Linked DNA regions of Stegostoma tigrinum. Each later gene encodes a partner of the first gene's protein in a complex. Links are inferred from orthologs where the notes say so. Each region holds a gene or a part of one and is shown on either strand. Other genes may lie near its edges.

Region 1 (7,819 bases):
CTGGCTCAAGCAGCTTGATATAAACTTGGGCAATAGTTCAGAGCAGGAATCTAGCCCGAATCATACAATGCTCAAAGCTCTCAGAACAAAGTGTGAGCATCTTGGAATAAAATCCACTGTCTGATCCTTTCAGGACAAGCCCTCTTACTGAGATCATCCAGGGCCCAACACAGCTTCATGGTGATGATGTCAGGAGAGACAAAATGGTGCTAAGAATGGTGACCTGGTTCCAACCTGGAGAGGTGGAACCTGGGTACCTGATGGCAGAGGTGGTGGCATTCTAACTGCAGCGGTGTGCAGGGACTCAGGCACCTGAGAGTTTGCAGACTAAGGGATGGACTTTGTGGTTGTGTTTTTTCTGGTGATGAGGACTCATGGTGGAGGCGGGGGAGTGATCTGGATGTCTCCTTTTGGCTGTTTCTTTTATTTCTGCTTCTGTTTTTAATCCTGTCTCTTGCATCGGAGAATGGTGACTAGTACACTTTTCACTGTTCCCTGTATTTCTGCACCGGTGCACATGACTAAATCTAAATTCATTAACATTTGTTGCTTGCTAAACAGTTTTGCACAATAACTAGTTGTTGTGGAACCCCAAGAGATAAATGGGGTTGAGAAAGTCGAGGATGCTGTCTTAGAGCAATAATGTGAGCTGCCAAATATGGAGACAGGAAATTGAGGACATTCCTCAAAACTATCCATTGGATAAGGACCAACTCTCCACCTTTCCATGTTCCAGATCTTAGAAACATTATTCCAATATCCTGAGTACCGAGGAAGGGTCACCGGACCCTAAACGTTATCGCTGTTTTCTCCTTTACAGATGCTGCCAAACCTGCTGAGCTTTTCCAGCAACTTTGTTTTTTATTCCAATATCCTTTTTGGAGTCAACTTCACAGGTGTCTCTGCGCCAATGTGAGGATTTTAAAGAGCAACAGGAACTGAAAAAAAGTCCTCCGTTGTTTGAAAATATATATACTGATTTCACAAATTGATCCATTTATGATCAGTAACAACTCCGACATCTGCAAAACCCCTAATGTCTGCCTTGTGAATCTCAACCCACATTGCTGCTGGTTTCCCACTAAATACACTCCAGGAGGTGTAGAGTCTAATGAAGGCATCTGCGGTAACCCTGGTGTCTGATGTCAAGGAGCTCAATCTGCTGAAGATCTGGTGGGAAACATCTGCATCTGAACTTGGAGCAGTTTGGTCCTGCTGGTTGTCTGGTTTCATGGACATGCTGGTAAGTAAACAGTATAAAGAACAGACAACAGTTGCTTCCTCAATCAAATGAAACCTATTCCTATTGATGTGACAGTCAACACAGTAGTGCCTTGACAAGTGATCATTTGATACAAGCAGCCTGCATGGTCTTATTGCCATTTGCAAAGAGAGTTCATGAGTTGGAACTGTCAACTCCAACCCCAGCCAACTCCATATTTCCATTGACCATAACTTTTCACTCCTTTTAGTCAAAAATATATCTATGTCTACACCATAGAAAATACTCTGACACATCTCCATTGTTTTGTTGGGAAGAGTGTTCCAAACACTCATGACCCTTAGAAGAAGTTCTCTTTAGTTCAGTTATAAATGTATTTTTAAACTGTATCCTCTACTTCTAACCTCCAGATCAGCTATGATCTCATTGAATGGTGGAATGGGCTTGAGGGGCTGAACGGCCCACTCCTGTTCCAATGCCTCTCCTATGAGGTAAATATTTCTTTAGCATCCAACCTGTCAAATACCCTCAGCATCTCATATGTTTCAATAAGACCACCTCTCGTTCTTCCAAACGTAAATGGATAACAGGCCCAGTCTATCCAAACTTTCCTCATAAGCTCATCTCCGCAAACCCCAACTCAGAAATTTTTCAAATGGACCTTCTCTGAACTTCTTCTAATGTTTATACATATTTTCTTAAACAAGGCAACCAAAACTGTTAATTGTCTTCCAGATGTGCCATGCACCAGTAGCATACTTTTAAATTCCATTGCCCTGGCATTAAGCATAAGGAAATAGCACTCCTGTGCAGAATTCCCTCAGTAATTCAGTGTGTAGCTTTTGTAGTTGAGTTGTAAGACCATAAGATTTAGGACCAGAAGATGGCTATTCAGCCCACTGTGTTTGCTGTACATCTCAACAAGATGAGCTTCAACTCCAGTTTCTTGCTTTTTCCCTGTAAGCCTAGATTCCCTTCCTGCTTAAAAATCTCTCAGCCTTGAATATACTCAATCACCTTCTGTGGGAAAGAATTACCAGAAGCCCACAAGATATAGAATCAGAATTTGGCCATTTGGTCCATTGAGTCTGCTCCACTGTTTGGTCATGGCCGATTATATTTCTCAACCTCATTCTCTTACCTTCTCCCTGTATGACTTGATCCCGTACTAATTGAGAATCTATATCTGACTTAAATAAACTCGATGACTTGGCCTTCACAGCCCTCTGTGACAATAAATTCCACAAATTCACTACCCTCTGGCTGGAGAAATTCTAAAGGGTTGTCCTTCATTTTTTGATGATGTACCCCTGGCTCCTAATCTTTCCTACGAATGGAAACATTTTCTCCACCTACCACTCTACCTCGGCGTCTCAATATTCTGTAAGTTTCATTCGGATCTCCCCCACCTCCACCCCCTCCCCCCCCCCCCCCCCCCCCACTTACCCCCAACAACCTGCTAAACACCACCAAGTACGGATGCAGAGTCCTCAACCTCTCCTCGTTTCACAAGGCCTTCAGTCCAGGATCATTCTTGGTAAACATCTCTGGATCACTCCAATGCCAGCACATCCTTCCTTAGATAGGGGGCTCAAAACTCCTCATCATATTTCAAATGTGGTTTGAACAGAGCTTTACGTAGCCTCAGCAGTACATTTCTGCTCTTGTATTCTAGCCCTCCTGAAACTAACGGCATGATTGTATTTGCCTTCCAAATGCCAACTGAACCTGCGTATTAACCAGAAGAGAAGTCTAAACAAGTCCCTTTGTGCTTCAGGTTTCTGAAGCCTTTCCCCATTTAGAAAATAGTCCAAGTCTCCTCTTCCTACCAAAGTGCGTAACATTGCACTTTCCCACGTCGTATTCCCTCTGCCACTTCTTTGCCCACTCTCCAAGACTAACCAAGTCCTTCAGCAGCCTCCTGCTTCCACAGCACTCCCTACACATAGTTTTGTGTCAGTTGCAAACTTACCAACAATGTGCTCAGTTCCATCATCCAGATTATTAGTGTGTAACATGAACCTTTGTGGTCCACCACTGACCCCTGTGGAACTCTACTAGTCACTGGTTGCCATCCTGATAAAAACCCCTATCCCTACTCTCTGCCTTCTGCCAGTTAACCAATCCTCTATCTATGCCAGTACCTTATTCTTAACAGCATGGGCTTTTAACTTATTTAAGTAGCTTTGTTACAGCACCTTACTGAAGGTTTTCTGGAAATCCAAATAGTTTGTGTCCATTGCTCTTCTTTGTCGAACTTGCTTATTACCTCCTCAAAGAATTCTTAACAAATTTGTCAGGCATGACCTCCCTTTGACAAAACCATGCTGACTGAACACTATTTTATCACGTTCTTCCAAGTATTCTGCAGTCTCATTCTTAAGAATGAACTCTAAATTCTACAGATTCACTATCCTCTGATGGAAATTCCTCCTTATCTCTGTCTTAACCGTGCAGTTCCTTATTCTGAGATTACGCCCTATCAGAAAACATAGAGGAAGATGTAAGTGATAATGGGAACTGTGTAGCACTGGAATGAGATTATGATTTATCTGATAATCTTCAACTTTATTTTCCTGCCCTTGCCTCCTAACTCTTGCTTCCTTCCCTGATCTATCTCAGCCTTGAATATACTTAACAACGTAGCCTTAACAGCCTTCTGCAATAAAGAATTTCACAGATATATCACCCTCAGAGAAGAAATTCCTCCTTATCCCTGTCTTAAATAAGTGAACCCTGGGTTTGAGAATTTGCCATCTGGTCCTGGTCTCTCCCATAAAGGCAAACAATGTCTTGGATGGTGGGGTCGGATTGTAGATGGCGGAAGTGTCGGATGCGTTGTATCCGGAGGTTGGTGGGGTGGGATGGACATCAGTTACAAGCTGGTTGCCTGAGATGGAGACTGAGAGGTCCAGGAACAAAGAGGATCCCCCTCGTTCTCACACACCACACCTTGTTAAACACACTAAGAATCTCATGTTTCAATAGCCTTTGGGGGAGGGAGGAGGGACATGAATCCTTTGGGACTGGGGGGGGGGGGGGGGTGCAGATACTGAAGCACAACCGGTCCGCGCTCTCTCTCCCTATTTAATTCAGACCCCCCCCCCCCCCCGCTCCAATTTCTGAAGGAGGGTCTAGGCCTCAAACATCAGCCTTTCCTGCTCCTCTGCTGCTGCTGCTTGTCCTCCTGTGTCCGTCCACCTCCACACTGTGTTATCTCAGATTCTGCAGCGTTGGCAGTCCCTACTATCTCTATCTCGGATTCCTAATGGTCATTGTTAGCAGGATCTGATTACAGAGTTGACACATCAGTCTTGTTTTTTCGGTTGTGTTCACACACACAGACGAGCCGTACAGATTACTTCGGTTTTCATAGCACGGTCCACACGCCCCTCTGTCGGTTTGAAAATCCGTTTCTCCCACGCGCGCGCAGACTCACACACCTTCTCCGCCCCGGCCCTCACCCCCCCTACACCCATAAAACCTGCGACATGCCTGCACTCTAATTGGCTAGAACCGCCGTCAATCAGATCAGGTGATGTGGGGAGCGCGGGTCCCGCCCCAGCAGACCGCGCAGTGCCTGTCGGGACGGGCCGGGAGGACTGGGAGGTCCGATGGTGGCTCCAGGCGGTAGCGGGAGCAGGTGAGGGTGAGAGTTTGTCCGCAGCTCCGGGGTGTGGGACAGATGGATGAGGGAAACGGGTGTCTAGATGAGGGGCTGGTTCTTGACTCGATCACTTCCCCCCCCCCCACCCCAAACCTCCTGTTGGTTACGGGGCCGGGCTCCGGATAGGACCGGGCCGGTACGTTAGGCCGCGGAGCTGGGGTTTCTGTTTCTCCGGGTTCGGGGGACAGTGTCAGCGGCCGCCGCTTCCTGATCCCCGAAACCACCGCCACCCCGCTTAACGCCGTGCTCTTCCCGAGTGTGAGACATACACCGGGTTCGCAGAATCAAAGCATAATGACCGCTCAGCCCGCTCTGCCTGTCCTAGCACCACCCCCTTCCCTGATCAACAACAAAAACAGAAATTGCTGGGAAAGCTCAACAAGTCTGGTAGCATCTGTGGAGAGAAATCAGAGTTAATGTTTTGGTTCCGGTCACACTCTTCCTCCCCTCCTAAAGTCTGCCTCCTGTTTCTTATTTTTCATGTCCTCTGGGCAGGTGCTAGTATCTCCTTCCCCAAGTGCTATATTCTGCGTTCTTCCTAATTTGTGGGGATGTGGTATTGGTTTGGATTCTTTGGAAGCTATTCTTATCAAAATGTCTGAATGGAATGCTAGAATGCACAGGAGACCATTTGGTCCATCATACCTGTGCAGGCTCTTTAGAAGAGGCATTCACTCAGGCATGATGGTGGGCACCCAAAGGATGTTTCCTCTTCCCAGGAGAGACTAGATCAGAAATTAGATTAGATTCCCTACAGTGTGGAAACAGGCCCCTTCGGCCCAACAAGCCCACACCGCCCCTTGGAGCATCCCACCCAGGCCCATTCCCCTATAACCCACACACCCCTGAACACTATGGGCAATTTAGCACAGCCATTCCACCTAGCCTGCACATCTTTGGACTGTGGGAGGAAACGAGAGCACCCGAAGGAAACTCATGCAGACACGGGGAGAATGTGCAAATTCCGCACAGACAGTTACCTGAGGCTGGAATCGAACCCAGGTCCCTGGTGCTGTGAGGCTGCAGTGCTAACCACTGAGCCACTGTGCCGCCCCTGAAATCAGACAACTCCAGGTTATAGCCCAACAGGTTATTTGAAATCACAAGCTTGCAGACTGTACTCCCTCTGTCAGAGAGAGATTAGAACTGGGGAGCACAGTTTCAGAACAAGGAATATAAGCCGAAAGTGCAGGAGAAACTCAGCAAGCCTGACAAGATCTGTGGCGAGGAAGAAACATTTTGAGTCCAAAGACTTCTTCAGAGCCAAGAGATTTCCCTTTTAAAGACAGACAAGATTTTTTTTTACTCTGAGGGCTATTAGTCCGTTGATATCACTTGCACAGAAGGCAGTGAAGGCTGGAATATTGAATTTAATCAAGGTTGAGTTAGAGTTTTGACAAGCAAGGGAGTTGTGGGGTATGGTCACAAACAGAGAAGTGGAGCTGAGATCACAACCGGATCAGCCATAATGTTAATGAATTGTGGAGCAAGGTAAATGGGTCAAATGACCTAATTCTCCTGCTGTATCTTATGATCTTATGGATACTGGCTCCTGATGAAGTAATGCAGCAAAACGTGAGGCTGGATGAACACAGTAGGCCAAGCGGCATCTCAGGAGCACAAAAGCTGACGTTTCGGGCCTAGACCCTTCATCAGAGAGGGGGATGGGGTGAGGGTTCTGGAATAAATAGGGAGAGAGGGGGAGGCGGACCGAAGATGGAGAGAAAAGAAGATAGGTGGAGAGAGTATAGGTGGGGAGGTAGGGAGGGGATAGGTCAGTCCAGGGAAGACAGACAGGTCAAGGAGGTGGGATGAGGTTAGTAGGTGGAAGTGCGGCTTGGGGTGGGAGGAGGGGATGGGTGAGAGGAAGAACAGGTTAGGGAGGCGGAGACAGGTTGGACTGGTTTTGGGATGCAGTGGGTGGAGTGGAGGAGCTGGGCTGGTTGTGTGGTGCAGTGGTGGGAGGGGACGAACTGGGCTGGTTTAGGGATGAAGTTGGGGAAGGGGAGATTTTGAAGCTGGTGAAGTCCACATTGATACCATTAGGCTGCAGGGTTCCCAGGCGGAATATGAGTTGCTGTTCCTGCAACCTTCGGGTGGCATCATTGTGGCAGTGCAGGAGGCCCATGATGGACATGTCATCTAGAGAATAGGAGGGGGAGTGGAAATGGTTTGCGACTGGGAGGTGCAGTAGTTTGTTGCAAACTGAGCGGAGGTGTTCTGCAAAGCGGTCTCCAAGCCTCCGCTTGGTTTCCCCAATGTAGAGGAAGCCACACCGGGTACATTGGATGCAGTATACCACATTGGCAGATGTGCAGGTGAACCTCTGCTTAATGTGGAATGTCATCTTGGGGCCTGGGATAGGGGTGAGGGGGGAGGTGTGGGGACAAGTGTAGCATTTCCTGCGGTTGCAGGGGCAGGTGCCGGGTGTGGTGGGGTTGGAGGGCAGTGTGAAGGGAACAAGGGAGTCACGGAGAGAGTGGTCTCTCCGGAAAGCAGACAGGGGTGGGGATGGAAAAATGTTTTGGATGGTGGGGTCAGATTGTAGATGGCGGAAGTGTCGGAGGATGATGCGTTGTATCCGGAGGTTGGTGGGGTGGGATGGACATCAGTTACAAGCTGGTTGCCTGAGATGGAGACTGAGAGGTCCAGGAACAAAGAGGATCCCCCTCGTTCTCACACACCACCCCACCAACCTCCGGATACAACGCATCATCCTCCGACACTTCCGCCATCTACAATTTTTCCATCCCCACCCCTGTCGGCTTTCCGGAGAGACCACTCTCTCCGTGACTCCCTTGTTCGCTCCACACTGCCCTCCAACCCCACCACACCCGGCACCTGCCCCTGCAACCGCAGGAAATGCTACACTTGCCCCCACACCTCCCCCCTCACCCCTATCCCAGGCCCCAAGATGACATTCCACATTA
Region 2 (7,508 bases), on another chromosome or scaffold:
CGCCACACAAGCGCCAGGCAATGGCTATCTCCAATAAGAGACACAATCTAACCAACAACAGTGGGAATGTTACACAGAACGAGTGGCAACATCAGGAGTTGAACCAGGTCAGCAGTTGGGAGATTGCGGGGCAAGGGAAAAGGAAGATGTTACATCCAAATGTTGGGATATCACAGAAGCTGGCTTGCATCCCAGCACGAAGGGCTAACAAGATCAAAGAAGTGACATGGCACAGGATCAGGCCATTCTACCCTATATTGCTTGCATTGGCTGTACTCCCCAGTGCCCAATCTCCTGCCTTTTCCGCTGTGCACCATTTCCAAACAAACACCCATCCAATGCCCCTCTGGGAATATCGCAATGAAACCTGCCTCCCCCAACATTTCCAGGCAGTCCACACGCTCACTACCAGCCTGGAGATAGGAGTCTTTACCCCAGCCTTCTCACCTTGGTTCCTGCAGTTCCTCCCGGCGAGTATGAAATTCTTCAAACATTGTGATGATTTCAACATGCCCAGCTTGTCTGGCCAAATCCAAAGCATCTCGCCCCGTGGAATCGCACACTCCAATCCATGCAGCCCCACGGTTCAGTAAGTACTTCACCACCTCTGCCTGCCCGCTGTACGCCGCACACATTGTGGCAGTCCAGTAATAACTGTCCCGGAAATTTATATCACACATTGCAGTCTCCAGTAACCTGCGAAGCCTTTTCAGGTCCCCATCCTGAGCACATTTTAGCAGGAGGTGTCCATTCCTCTCCGTTGCTGCAGCAGGCAGACTCCTTGGAGTTTGCTCCCTGTTGGTCCTTTCAGTCTTTGACGTCTGCCAAACAACTTTACGTTTCCGAATGGAACTCGTACCTGCCTCACCATCTGATGTGAGAAGGCTCTCATAAAACTTTTTCACCTCATCTCCAGTCAGGACTTCAATCCCGGGGCCAGGCGATGGAGGTTTCTGACGCTCTCCATTTTCCCAGGTGTCTGTTTCATCTTTGGCTCGGGTAAAAGTGATGAGGTTCATGTGATCCATGATGAAGAATGTTCTTTGCCTGCACTTCTGATTACTTAGGGCTCACTTTGCTACTGGCAATGGGCACTTCACATCCCAGAGACAACTGTGTGCAAAAGCAAAAGCAGAATTTGCAATAACTGTCATTTTTTTCAGAGTTGCAATTGAATAAATACAAAAACCAATCTGATAGAGTAGCTACAGACATAAGACTAATATCAAATTGAGAAGAGAAATGAGGAATATTACAAGACTAACATAGGAAGATTAGTACGATATAGTGACAACAGCATATTAACAGTGTTATAGAGTCACACAGCATGGTAACATATCCTTTACTCCAACCAGCGTAAACTAAACTAGTCCCATTGCCTGCACTTGACTCATATCCATCCAAACATTTCTTATTCATGTACCTATCCAAACGCTGTAACTGTATCGCATCCACCACTTCCTCTGGAAGTTCATTCCACACATGAACCACACTCGGTGTTTAAAAAAAAATGCCCCTATTATCCTTTTTAAATTGTTCTCCTCTCATCTGAAAAAGATGCCCCCTAGACTCGCAATCCCCCACCCAAGGGAAATGACTCCTGCCATTCACTGTATCTGTACTCCTCATCATTTTAAAAACCTCTGTAAAGTCAACGCTCAACCTCCTACAACACCAATAAAAAAAGACAACCCCGCCAATCCAGCCTCTCCTTACAACTCAAATCCTCCATTCCTGGCAACATCCTGGTAAATTTTTTCTGACCCCTCTCCAGTTTAATAATATCCTTCCTATATCAGGGCGACCGGAACCGCATACAGTGCTCCAGGAGAGGCCTCACCAACATCCGACAACCTCATCGCAACTTCAAAACTCAAACGTCTGATACAGAAGGTAAAGGTAAAGTTGCACAGGGTCAGAGGTGAGATTGCAAGAAGATGGAAAAAACTGGCTCAGTCATAGAAGACAGAGGGTAACAGTGGAAGGGTGTGTTTCTGAATGGAGGGCTGTGGCATTTAGAAATATACAATAGGTGTGTTTAAGAGACTTTTAGATCAGCACATGAATAGTGGCATTCCTCAGGGATCAGCGTTGGGACCTTCACTGATGGTAATATACATAAATGATTTGGAGGAGAAAGTAACTGGACTGATCAGTAAGTTTGCTGATGACACAAAGGTTGGTGGAATGCAGGTAGTGATGAGGACCGTCAAAAGGAAACAGCAGGATATAGATTGCTTGGTGTCTTGGGCAGAGAGATGGCAGATGCAGTTTAATCTGGAAAAACGCGAGGTAATGCATTTTGGAAGGTCTGATTCAGTTGGAAATTATAACGTAAATGGCAAGAACCCTTAAGAGTACCGATAGCAGAGGGATCTGGGTGTACAGGTACACAGGTCACCGAAAGGGCAACACAGGTGGAAAAAGTAGTCAACAAGGCATACGGCATGCTTCCCTTCATTGGCCAGGGCACTGGGTTTTAAAAGGGGGGGGGGGGGGGTAATGTTGCAGCTTTAAAGAACCTTTGATCAGCCGCATTTGGAATATTGTGTTCAATTCTGGTCAGCACACTACCAGAAGGATGTGGTGGCTTTGGAGAGGATACAGGAAATATTTACCAGAATTTTGCCTGGTATGGAGGGCATTAGCTATTAGGAGGGGTTGGAGAAACGTGGGTTGTTCTCACTGGAACGACAAAGGTTGAGGGGTGACCGGATAGAGGTCTACAGGATTATGAAGGGCATGGACAGAATGGTCAGTCAGAAGCTTTTTCCCCAGGATGGAAGAGTCAGTTACCAGGGGCCATGGGTTTAAGGTACGAGGGGATAGGTTTAAAGGTGATGTATGAAGCAAGTTTGTTTTTTTTTTACACAGGAGGGTGGTGGGTGCCTGGAAGGCGCTGCTGGGGGTGGTACTGGAAGCTGATACTGTAGTGACTTTTAAAGGACGCCTTGACAATTACATGAATAGGATGGGAATAGAGGAATAGGGTCTCCGGACGTGTAGGGGGTTTTAGTTGTGATGGGCAGCAGGTCGGTGCAGGCTTGGAGGGCCGAAGGGCCTGTTCCTCTGCTGTAATTTTCTTTGTTCTTTGTGTCAGCAAGGAAGGCAGGTGTACAATTACCTTCTTAACCACCCTGTCTGCATGTGACGCAAAACCTCACAGAATTATGTCGCTGAATCCCTAGGTGTCCTTGTTGTCCAACACCATCCAATGCCTAACTTTTAATTGTACAGGTCTTACCCTTGTTTGTTTCACTAAAATGTAATCTCACATTCACCCAAATTAAATTCCATCTGATACTCCCTCACCCGCATCCCAGGCATGAAGAACCGCAGGAGATGCTACACTTGTCCCCACACCTCCTCCCTCACCCCCATCCCAGGCCCCAAGATGACATTCCACATTAAGCAGAGGTTCACCTGCACATCTGCCAATGTGGTATACTGTATCGACTGTACCCGGTGTGGCTTCCTCTACATTGGGGAAACCAAGCGGAGGCTTGGGGACCGCTTTGCAGAACACCTCCGCTCAGTTCGCAACAAACAACTGCACCTCCCAGTCGCAAACCATTTCCACTCCCCCTCCCATTCTTTAGATGACATGTCCATCATGGGCCTCCTGCACTGCCACAATGATGCCACCCGAAGGTTGCAGGAACAGCAACTCATATTCCGCTTGGGAACCCTGCAGCCATATGGTATCAATGTGGACTTCACCAGTTTCAAAATCTCCCCTTCCCCCACCGCATCCCTAAACCAGCCCAGTTCATCCCCTCCCCCCACTGCACCACACAACCAGCCCAGCTCTTCCCCCCCACCCACTGCATCCCAAAACCAGTCCAGCCTGTCTCTGCCTCCCTAACCTGTTCTTCCTCTCACCCATCCCTTCCTCCCACCCCAAGCCGCACCCCCAGCTACCTACTAACCCCATCCCACCTCCTTGACCTGTCCGTCTTCCCTGACTGACCTATCCCCTCCCTACCTCCCCACCTATACTCTCTCCACCTATCTTCTTTACTCTCCATCTTCGGTCCGCCTCCCCCTCTCTCCCTATTTATTCCAGTTCCCTCCCCCCATCCCTCTCTCTGATGAAGGGTCTAGGCCCGAAACGTCAGCTTTTGTGCTCCTGAGATGCTGCTGGGCCTGCTGTGTCCATCCAGCCCCACACTTTGCTACCTCATTGCTGAAGGATTAATTAGCAATCGCGGGCAGACCTCGTCCCCGCCCGCTGTGCCTCCGACACTGGGAACCTTTACACATCTACCACCGCGACATCGCTAACACCAGGAGGCCTTACCGCGCCGCCGCGGTGCACCCCGGGAGGACGTGGGCGGCCGCTGTGCGCGCCGGGAGTTGTAGTCTTCGCTCCTTGCGTCCCTCTACTCCCCACCCCCACCACCACCCCCCCCCCCCCCCACCCCCTACACCACCCCCACCCCCTACCGAACTGGGTGAGGATCAGGGTCAAACCGCAGGGACCTTGTGGCCCGGATTTCTTTTTGGGGGGGGGGGGGAGAGAAAAACGAACCCCGCCCCCCCTCGGCTGGCCGGGGGATTCCGGTTCCGGGTGAGGAGACGGGCCCCGGATGTTGTTGCTATGGCGGCGGTGGAAGGCGGAGGAGCGGCTGAGGTAGGGACGGGACCGAAACCCCCCCTCACCCCCCGGGGGGTGGGACCTTGTCTATTCACCCTATCCAAGCCCCTCATGATGTTATAAACCTCTATAAGGTCCCTCCTCAGCCTCTGACGCTCCAGGGAAAATAGCCCCAGCCTATTCAGCCTCTCTCCCTGTAGCTCAAACCCTCCAACCCCAGCAACATCCTTGTAAATCTTTCCTGAACCCTTCCAAGTTTCACACCATCCTTCCTGTAGCAGGGAGACCGGAACTGAGAGCTGTATCCCAAAAGTGGCCCAAACCAATGTCCTGCCCAGCCCCAACATGACCCTCCCAACTCCCTGTACTCAACGCACTGACCAATAAAGGCTAATGTACCGAACACCTTCACCATCCTGTCTCCCTGTGAGTCCACTTTCAAGGAACTGTGATCCTGCACCGCCCCCCCCTCAACAAGGTCTCTGTTCAGCAACAGTCCCCAGGACCTTACCATGAAGGAGTATTAGTCCTGCCATGATTTGCCTTTCCAAGATGCAGCACCTCACATTTATCTAAATTAAACTCCATCTACTTGGCTGATCTGAATGAGATCCCCTTATACTCAGGTAACTTTCTTCACTGTCTACTACACCTCCAATTTTGGTGTCATCTGCAAACTTACTAATCATACCTCCAATTTCATATCTAAATCATTTCTATAAATGACAAAAAGCAGCGGACCCTGCACCGATGCTCGTGGCACACCACTGGCTTCCAGCCTCTAATTTTTTTTAAAAAAAACCCTACTGCCAACCCCTTCTGCCTTCAAACCAATTTTATATCCAATTGGTTAGCTGCCCCCTAGATCCCATGTGATCTAATCATGCTAACCAGCCTACCATGTGGAATCTTGCCAGATGCCGCACTGAAATCCATTTGGACAATATTCACCGCACTGCCTTCGTCAGTTTTCTTTGTCACGTTTTCAAACAACTCAGTTAAGTTATTGAGACATGATTTCCCACCTGCAGAGCCATGTTGATTATCCCCAATCAGTCCTTACCTTTCCAAATGTGTAGGAGGAGGGAGGGGAGGATTCACAGATAGACAGGGCAGTGAAGGTGGTGTTCAGTACGCTTTAGCCTTTATTAGTGAGTGCATTGAGTAGAGGAGTTGGGAGGGTCATGTTGGGGCCATACAGAACATTGGTCAGAGCCACTTTTGGAATACAGCGTGTTGAAGCCTCTGAAGTGTGACTTGAATCTGTGAAGGACCTTGAGTTGCTGTCTTTCAGACTTGAGGCTGAAGCAATGATTTCTTGGCTTGTGCAGCTGAAGCGAAAACTTGCCATGTTATTTTGTTTAAAAGGAGAGAAGGGGCAGTGAATTGTCCACTGTTCATCCCTCAATCAGCAGCAGCAGTCAACAAAATAATTGGACCTTATTTAATTAATTTCTTAGAGCTGGTTCACTCAATTGATTCCAGAGATGAGGGGTTTGCCTTTTGAAGAGAGGCAGAGCAGTTTAGGCTTACGCTGTCTGGAGTGTAGAAGAAAGAGAGGATATCTAATTGAGGGATAGAAGATGCTAATGGGGATTGAGAAAGTAGACATAGAGAGGATGTTTCCCCTTGAGGGGCAGTCTGGAAGGAGAGGTCATAGATTGGCCATGCTAAGTTGCCCATAGTGTCTAGGGTAAGGGGTGGGTCTAGGTAGTATACTCTTCAGAGGGTCACTGTGGACTTGATGGACCAGATGGCCTGCTTCCACACTGTAGGGATTCTATGATTTTCGGATAAGGGATGGCAGATTTAAAACAGAGATGAGGAGAAGTTACTTCTCTCAAAGAGCTGTGAACCTGTAGAATTCACTGCCTCAACGGATGTTGAGACACTGGGTCAACTTTTACTCGCTCACAGGATGAGGGTGTTGCTGGCTACACCTGCGTTTACTGCCCGTCCCTAATTGCCCTGAGGGAAGTTAAAAGTCCACCCAACATTGAAGTGATTGATTTTTAAATTAGTGGAAGGGTTGAAGGATTATGGGCAGGAGAGGAGTTGAGGCTGAGATAAGATCAGGCAGATTGGCATCAAATGGTGGAACAGGCTCAATGGGCTGGATTCCAGCTCCTGATTCTGATGTGGGTTTTTTTATGGGGGCTTGCTGTGCAGAAACTGGTTGCCATCTTGAAATTTTTAGTTTATTCATTCACGGGATGAGGGCGTCGGTGGCCAGGCAGCATTTACTGTCCTTCCCCAGTTGCCCCAGAGGGCAGGTAAGAGTCAACCACATTACTGTGGGTCTGGAGTCACATGTAGGCCAGCCCAGGTAAGGACAGCAGTTTCCTTCTCTAAAGGACATTAGTGAACCAGATGGGTTTATCCTGACAGCAATGGATTCATGATCATCATTAAATTCTTAATTCCGGATATTTTTATTGAATTCAAATTCCGCCATCTGCCATGGGCGGGATTCGAACCCAGGTCCCTAGAACATTATCTGCGTCTCTGGATTAATAGTCCAATGATAATACCACTAGGCCATTGCCTCCCACATAATTACTGACCTTTGAAATTCCACGTTGTGGAAGTATTGTGGGATATAAAAGCAGTTTTGTACTTTTTAGGCCCGAAATGTCAGCTTTCCTGCTCCTAAGATGCTGCTTGGCCTGCTGTGTTCATCCAGCTACACACTTTGTTATCTCGGATTCTCCAGCATCTGCAGTTCCCATTATCTCTTGTGCTTTTATTCTGTTCACAGCCACGAATTGGACTGTAGCCGCCCATATTCATGAGAACAAAAGAGAACAGGAGCGGAATGGACTCTTCAGCCCATCGAACCTACCTCATTGTTCAGTATGACCATGCTAAGTGTTGCGATTCAGCTCCAGTCTCCTGCACCCACCCCGTTTCC
Region 3 (6,879 bases), on another chromosome or scaffold:
GTGATGTGCAGGTTTGGGTGGATTGGCCGTGCTAAATTGCCCCGTAGTGTCCAGGGATGTGCAGGTTAGGGTGGATTGGCCGTGCTAAATTGCCCCATAGTGCTCAGGGATGTACAGGTTAGGATGGATTGGCCGTGCTAAATTGTCGCTTAGTGCCCAGGGATGTGTGGGTTAGGGTGGATTGGCCGTGCTAAATTGTCGCTTAGTGCCCAGGGATGTGTGGGTTAGGGTGGATTGGCCGTGCTAAATTGTCCCATAGTGTCCAGGGATGTGCAGGTTAGGGTGGGTTGGCCGTGCTAAATTGTCCCATAGTGTCCACGGATGTGCAGGTTAGGGTGGGTTGGCCGTGCTAAATTGTCCCATAGTGCCCAGGGATGTGCGGGTTAGGGTGGATTGGCCATGCTAAATTGTCCCATAGTGCCCAGGGATGGGCAGGTTCGGGTGGATTGGCCGTGCTAAATTGTCCCATAGTGCCCAGGGATGTGCAGGTTAGGGTGGATTGGCCGTGCTAAATTGTCCCATAGTGCCCAGGGATGTGCAGGTTCGGGTGGAATGGACGTGCTAAATTGTCCCGTAGTGCCCAGGGATGTACAGGTTAGGGTGGATTGGCCATGCCAAATTGTCCCATAGTGCCCAGGGATGTGCGGGTTAGGGTGGATTGGCCGTGCTAAATTGTCCCATAGTGCCCAGGGATGTGCAGGTTAGGGTGGATTGGCCGTGCTAAATTGTCCCATAGTGCCCAGGGATGTGCGGGTTAGGGTGGATTGGCCGTGCTAAATTGTCCCATAGTGCCCAGGGATGTGCGGGTTAGGGTGGATTGGCCGTGCTAAATTGTCCCATAGTGCCCAGGGATGTGCAGGTTAGGGTGGATTGGCCGTGCTAAATTGTCCCATAGTGCCCAGGGATGTGCAAGTTAGGGTGGGTTGGCCGTGCTAAATTGTTCCATAGTGCCCAGGGATGTGCGGGTTAGGGTGGATTGGCCATGCTAAATTGTCCCATAGTGTCCAGGGATGTGCAGGTTAGGGTGGATTGGCCGTGCTAAATTGTCCCATAGTGCCCAGGGATGTACAGGTTAGGGTGGATTGGCCGTGCTAAATTGTCCCATAGTGCCTAGGGATGTGCGGGTTAGGGTGGATTGGCCGTGCTAAATTGTCCCATAGTGCACAGGGATGTGCTGGTTAGTGTGGATTGGCCGTGCTAAATTGTCCCATAGTGTCCAGGGATGTGCTGGTTAGTGTGGATTGGCCGTGCTAAATTGTCCCATAGTGCCCAGGGATGTGCGGGTTAGGGTGGATTGGCCGTGCTAAATTGTCCCATAGTGCCCAGGGATGTGCAGGTTAGGGTGGATTGGCCGTGCTAAATTGTCCCATAGTGTCCAGGGATGTGCGGGTTAGGGTGGATTGGCCGTGCTAAATTGTCCCATAGTGCCCAGGGATGTGTGTGTTAGGGTGGATTGGCCGTGCTAAATTGTCCCATAGTGCCCAGGGATGTGCAGGTTAGGGTGGATTGGCCGTGCTGAATTGTCCCATAGTGCCCAGGGATGTGCGGGTTAGGGTGGATTGGCCGTGCTAAATTGTCCCATAGTGCCCAGGGATGTGCAGGTTATGGTGGATTGGCCGTGCTGAATTGTCCCATAGTGCCCAGGGATGTGCAGGTTAGAGTGGATTGGCCGTGCTGAATTGTCCCATAGTGTCCAGGGATGTGCGGGTTAGGGTGGATTGGACATGCTAAATTGTCCCATAGTGCCCGGGGATGTGCAGGTTAGGGTGGATTGGCTGTGCTAAATTGTCCCATAGTGCCCAGGGATGTGCAGGTTAGTGTGGATTGGCCGTGCTAAATAGTCCCATAGTGCACAGGGATGTGCGGGTTAGGGTGGATTGGCCGTGCTAAATTGTCCCATAGTGCGCAGGGATGTGCGGGTTAGGGTGGATTGGCCGTGCTAAATTGTCCCATAGTGTCCAGGGATGTGCGGGTTAGGGTGGATTGGCCGTGCTAAATTGTCCCATAGTGCCCAGGGATGTGCGGGTTAGGGTGGATTGGCCATGCTAAATTGTCCCATAGTGCCCAGGGATGTGCAGGTTAGGGTGGATTGGCCGTGCTAAATTGTCCCATAGTACCCAGGGATGTGCGGGTTAGGGTGGATTGGCCGTGCTAAATTGTTCCATAGTGCCCAGGGATGTGCAGGTTAGGGTGGATTGGCCGTGCTAAATTGTCCTATAGTGCCCAGGGATGTGCAGGTTAGGGTGGATAGGCCGTGCTAAATTGTTCCATAGTGCCCAGGGATGTGCGGGTTAGGGTGGATTGGCCGTGCTAAATTGTCCTATAGTGCCCAGGGATGTGCAGGTTAGGGTGGATTGGCCGTGCTAAATTGTTCCATAGTGCCCAGGGATGTGCGGGTTAGGGTGGATTGGCCGTGCTAAATTGTCCTATAGTGCCCAGGGATGTGCAGGTTAGGGTGGATTGGCCGTGCTAAATTGTCCCATAGTGCCCAGGGATGTGCTGGTTAGGGTGGATTGGCCGTGCTAAATTGTCCTATAGTGCCCAGGGATGTGCAGGTTAGGGTGGATTGGCCGCGCTAAATTGTCCCATAGTGTCCAAGGATGTGCGGGTTAGGGTGGATTGGCCGTGCTAAATTGTCCCATAGTGTCCAGGGATGTGTGGGTTAGGGTGGATTGGCCGTGCTAAATTGTCCCTTAGTGCCCAGGGATGTGCAGGTTAGGGTGGATTGGCCGTGCTAAATTGTCCCATAGTGTCCAGGGATGTGTGGGTTAGGGTGGATTGGCCGTGCTAAATTGTCCCTTAGTGCCCAGGGATGTGCAGGTTAGGGTGGATTGGCCGTGCTAAATTGTCCCATAGTGTCCAGGGATGTGTGGGTTAGGGTGGATTGGCCGTGCTAAATTGTCCCATAGTGTCCAGGGATGTGCAGGTTAGGGTGGATTGGCCGTGCTAAATTGTCCCATAGTGTCCAAGGATGTGCGGGTTAGGGTGGATTGGCCGTGCTAAATTGTCCCGTAGTGCCCAGGGATGTGCGGGTTAGGGTGGATTGGCCGTGCTAAATTGTCCCATAGTGTCCAAGGATGTGCGGGTTAGGGTGGATTGGCCGTGCTAAATTGTCCCGTAGTGCCCAGGGATGTGCGGGTTAGGGTGGATTGGCCGTGCTAAATTGTCCCATAGTGTCCAAGGATGTGCGGGTTAGGGTGGATTGGCCGTGCTAAATTGTCCCGTAGTGCCCAGGGATGTGCGGGTTAGGGTGGATTGGCCGTGCTAAATTGTTTATTAACCAGTCCCTGATCTCCACTGCGCTCTCCTTCCGTTTGAATGTCTGAAGTCCTGGTCGCGAGGCATCTCCCTTCTGTAATTTATTTCACATTATACCTTTGCTTCGCCTTGCCAGGAAAGGGTCACGTTTTCGCCCTGCCCCTGTGACTTGCGACAGGATTGGCGGGGGACAACCCTGGGTGAATGAATGGGATCTTGCTATGCGGAGACAGCAAGCGACTGGGTTGGTTGGGGGCGGGCAACCCTGGGTCGGATGGATGGGCACTTGCTGTGTGGGGATACATTGTCCCAGTCAACGCGGAGAGAGGAGGGCGACAGCATCACCCCAACGCCCCAAGACGAAAGGGCCATCATGAACCGAACATGACCGTTTTTCGGTGCTTTCCAGAGCCAAGGGGGCGGCCTTTCTGCTAAAATCAAAATGTGGCCACAAAATAATTGCGCCAGGCCTAGAGTTGGGGGTTTGAGTTCGCAAACACTCTGATTAGGTTTAGACCCGCAGCCATGTGTTAGAAAGATAATTGTTTTCATGTTTTTAAGGGAAAGGTGGTGACAGAAGCCTTTTGTGCTAGGCCTCTTCAACAAGAACTTTATTGTTCCAGGCCCTGGCCGCCGGGTTGTTGTTGTTGGGAAGATGGCGGCGGCGGCGGCGGAGCCCGAGCCCGAAGCGGAGCCGGAGCCGGGCCCCGGGAAGAAGCGGCGGATCCGGGGGATGCTCAAACTCTACTACGGCCTGAACGAGGGCTCCCGGGAGCCGCTCGACCCCGGGGACATCGACGGGGCCCACTTCCAGCCCGAGTTTTACCTCAACAAGGTGCCGCCCCCCCCCCTCACACACCCCCCTCCCCCCCCCCTCACACACCCCCCTCCCCCCCCCTCACACACCCCCCTCCCCCCCCCTCACACACCCCCCCTCCCCCCCCCTCACACACCCCCCCTCCCCCCCCCCTCACACACCCCCCTCCCCCCCCCCTCACACACCCCCCTCCCCCCCCCTCACACACCCCCCTCCCCCCCTCACACACCCCCCCTCCCCCCCCTCACACACCCCCCTCCCCCCCCTCACACACCCCCCTCCCCCCCCTCACACACCCCCCTCCCCCCCCTCACACACCCCCCTCCCCCCCCTCACACACCCCCCTCCCCCCCCCTCACACACCCCCCCTCCTCCCCCCCTCACACAGCCCCCCCTCCTCCCCCCCTCACACAGCCCCCCCCCCCTCAGCCCCCCCCTCCCCCCCCCTCACACAGCCCCCCCCTCCCCCCCCTCACACACCCCCCCCCTCACACACACCCCTCCCCCCCCTCCCCCCCTCACACACCCCCTCCCCCCTCACACACCCCCTCCCCCCTCACACCCCCCCCTCACACACCCCCCCTCCCCCCCTCACACACCCCCCTCCCCCCCTCACACACCCCCCTCCCCCCCCTCACACACCCCCCTCCCCCCCCTCACACACCCCCCTCCCCCCCCTCACACACCCCCCTCCCCCCCCTCACACACCCCCCTTCCCCCCCTCACACACCCCCCTTCCCCCCCCTCACACACCCCCCTTCCCCCCCTCACACACCCCCCTCCCCCCCCTCACACACCCCCCCCCCCCTCACACACCCTCCCCTCCCCCCCTCTCACACCCTCCCCTCCCCCCCTCTCACACCCTCCCCCCCCTCACACACCCTCCCCCCCCTCACACACCCTCCCCCCCCTCACACACCCTCCCCCCCCCTCACACACCCTCTCCCCCCCCTCACACACCCTCCCCCCCCTCACACACCCTCCCCCCCCCTCACACACCCTCCCCCCCCTCACACACCCTCCCCCCCCTCACACACCCTCCCCCCCCTCACACACCCTCCCCCCCCCTCACACACCCTCCCCCCCCCTCACACACCCTCCCCCCCCCTCACACACCCTCGCCCCCCTCACACACCCTCCCCTCCCCCCCTCAAACCCTCCCCCCCTCAAACCCTCCCCCTTCCCCCGCCATAACTGCCCCTTCCCCCGCCATAACTGCCCCTTCCCCTTCTACCATAACTGCCCCCCTCCCCCAGCCATTTCTACCCGCCCTCTCCTTGGACTTCTGCCCCAGCCACTTCCCAGTCTTTTCCTCTCCTCCCCCGCCAAATCTTCCCCCCTCTTGAAATCTTCCAATCCCCCTCCCAACTTCTGATCCTCCATCCCCAATCTGGCTTCCCCCCCCACTCCTCCTCTCCCTTGCCCTCCCCACAGTGAGAGGAGAGGCGTTGTGCCCTTCCCACAGAGAGGGGAGTTTTGACCCTCCCCAGACTGAGGGGTGGCTGGGTGTTGTGGGACAGTCAAACACCTCCCGCACAGGGAGAACGGGGAAGGATATGTGACCCTCCCCTAATGAGAGAGAGGGAGGGAGGGAGGGGTGATCCTCAATCAGAGTGCAGTGAATGTTTGATAGAGAGTGGGCTCGCGGAGTGCATGACCCTTCCCCTGTGGAAAAAGGGGAGTATGAGTGAGCAAAGGGGAATGTGAGTGTCACCTCTTCAGGTGAGATGGGAGAAATGTGCGGTGACCCCCTCCCACCAGCGGAAACACAGGTTTCTTGAACACGTGAATGCTGGGTTAGGACAGTCGGACCAGGTGCTTCCTGTGGAGTCCAGAGCCCAGCAAGAGCCCGACACAGCCAGCAGCAGGAGGGATGATCACGGGGTCCGTTGCTAACATAATCTGCTCACTCTCTCCTGTGTGACAGCTCAGGAAGGAGTGCACACTGGCAGAACTGATGGAAAGTGAAGCTGAGATGGTGAAACACATCCGAGCCCTGGACAGCGACATGCAGACTCTGGTCTATGAAAACTACAACAAGTTTATCTCTGCCACAGGTAGGGCAGAAACGTAGAGTTTGTAGAAGTTAGGAGTCAGCCACTTGGTATGATCACGCTGATGCATTTTGGTAATACAAACAAGCACAGGACTTAAACAGTTCGTGGTAGGGTCCTGGGGAGTGTTGTACAACAGAGTGACCTCGGGATTCAGGAACATAATTCTTTCAAATTTGCGTCACAGGTAGACAGAGTTAAGAAAGCAAAAGAACTGTGCATGTCACCAATCAGGAAGAAAAACAGAAGTTGCTGGAAAAGTTCAGCACATCTGGCAGAACTAAGGAAGCGTCACCGGACCCAAAGCATTAACTCGGTTTTTCTCCTCCACTGAGCTTTTCCAGCAACGACTTGGTTTTTGTTTCTGGTTAATGAAGTGTTTAGCACGCTCACCTTCATTGCTCAGTCGTTTGAGTACAGGAGTTAGGGACGTCTTGTTGAGGTTGGACTGGATGTTGATGAGGTCTCTTCTGGAGCACTGTGTCCAGTTCTCGTCGTCCTGTTATAGGAAATAAAGTGAGAAGCTGGAAAGATTGATCAGGATGTTGCCGAGTTTGGAGGGTTTGAGATATTAAAATAGGGGTGGCACGGTGGCGCACTGCAGCCCCACAGGACAAGGGACCCGGGTTCGATTCCACCCTCGGGCGACTGCGTGGAGTTTGCACATTCTCCCCCTGTCTGCGGGGGTTTCCTCCGGGTGCTCCAGTTTCCTCCCACTGTCCAAAGATGTGCAGGTTACGGTGGATTGGC

Evidence for each region. The genes of interacting proteins can lie anywhere in the genome.
Region 2: vps54 (region 1) and vps52 share a complex: the UniProt entries of both Homo sapiens proteins name them as parts of the golgi-associated retrograde protein (GARP) complex. The link is inferred for Stegostoma tigrinum from reciprocal best matches to the Homo sapiens genes VPS54 and VPS52.
Region 3: vps54 (region 1) and vps51 share a complex: the UniProt entries of both Homo sapiens proteins name them as parts of the golgi-associated retrograde protein (GARP) complex. The link is inferred for Stegostoma tigrinum from reciprocal best matches to the Homo sapiens genes VPS54 and VPS51.

What each region holds. Positions count from the first base shown.
Region 1 is NC_081362.1:1,791,728-1,799,546, reverse strand, and holds the start of vps54 (vacuolar protein sorting-associated protein 54), read left to right. Parts: upstream 1-4,808; 5' UTR 4,809-4,865; intron 4,866-7,819. UniProt on the Homo sapiens protein: Acts as a component of the GARP complex that is involved in retrograde transport from early and late endosomes to the trans-Golgi network (TGN).
Region 2 is NC_081387.1:27,635,447-27,642,954, forward strand, and holds the start of vps52 (vacuolar protein sorting-associated protein 52 homolog), read left to right. Parts: upstream 1-4,499; 5' UTR 4,500-4,600; coding exon 4,601-4,633; intron 4,634-5,002; exon of another isoform or gene 5,003-5,202; coding exon of another isoform or gene 5,203-5,223; intron 5,224-7,508. Other genes in the region: gpank1 (G patch domain and ankyrin repeat-containing protein 1), read right to left, coding at 448-1,028. UniProt on the Homo sapiens protein: Acts as a component of the GARP complex that is involved in retrograde transport from early and late endosomes to the trans-Golgi network (TGN).
Region 3 is NW_026728199.1:142,959-149,837, reverse strand, and holds the start of vps51 (vacuolar protein sorting-associated protein 51 homolog), read left to right. Parts: upstream 1-3,870; 5' UTR 3,871-3,913; coding exon 3,914-4,093; intron 4,094-6,002; coding exon 6,003-6,132; intron 6,133-6,879. UniProt on the Homo sapiens protein: Acts as a component of the GARP complex that is involved in retrograde transport from early and late endosomes to the trans-Golgi network (TGN).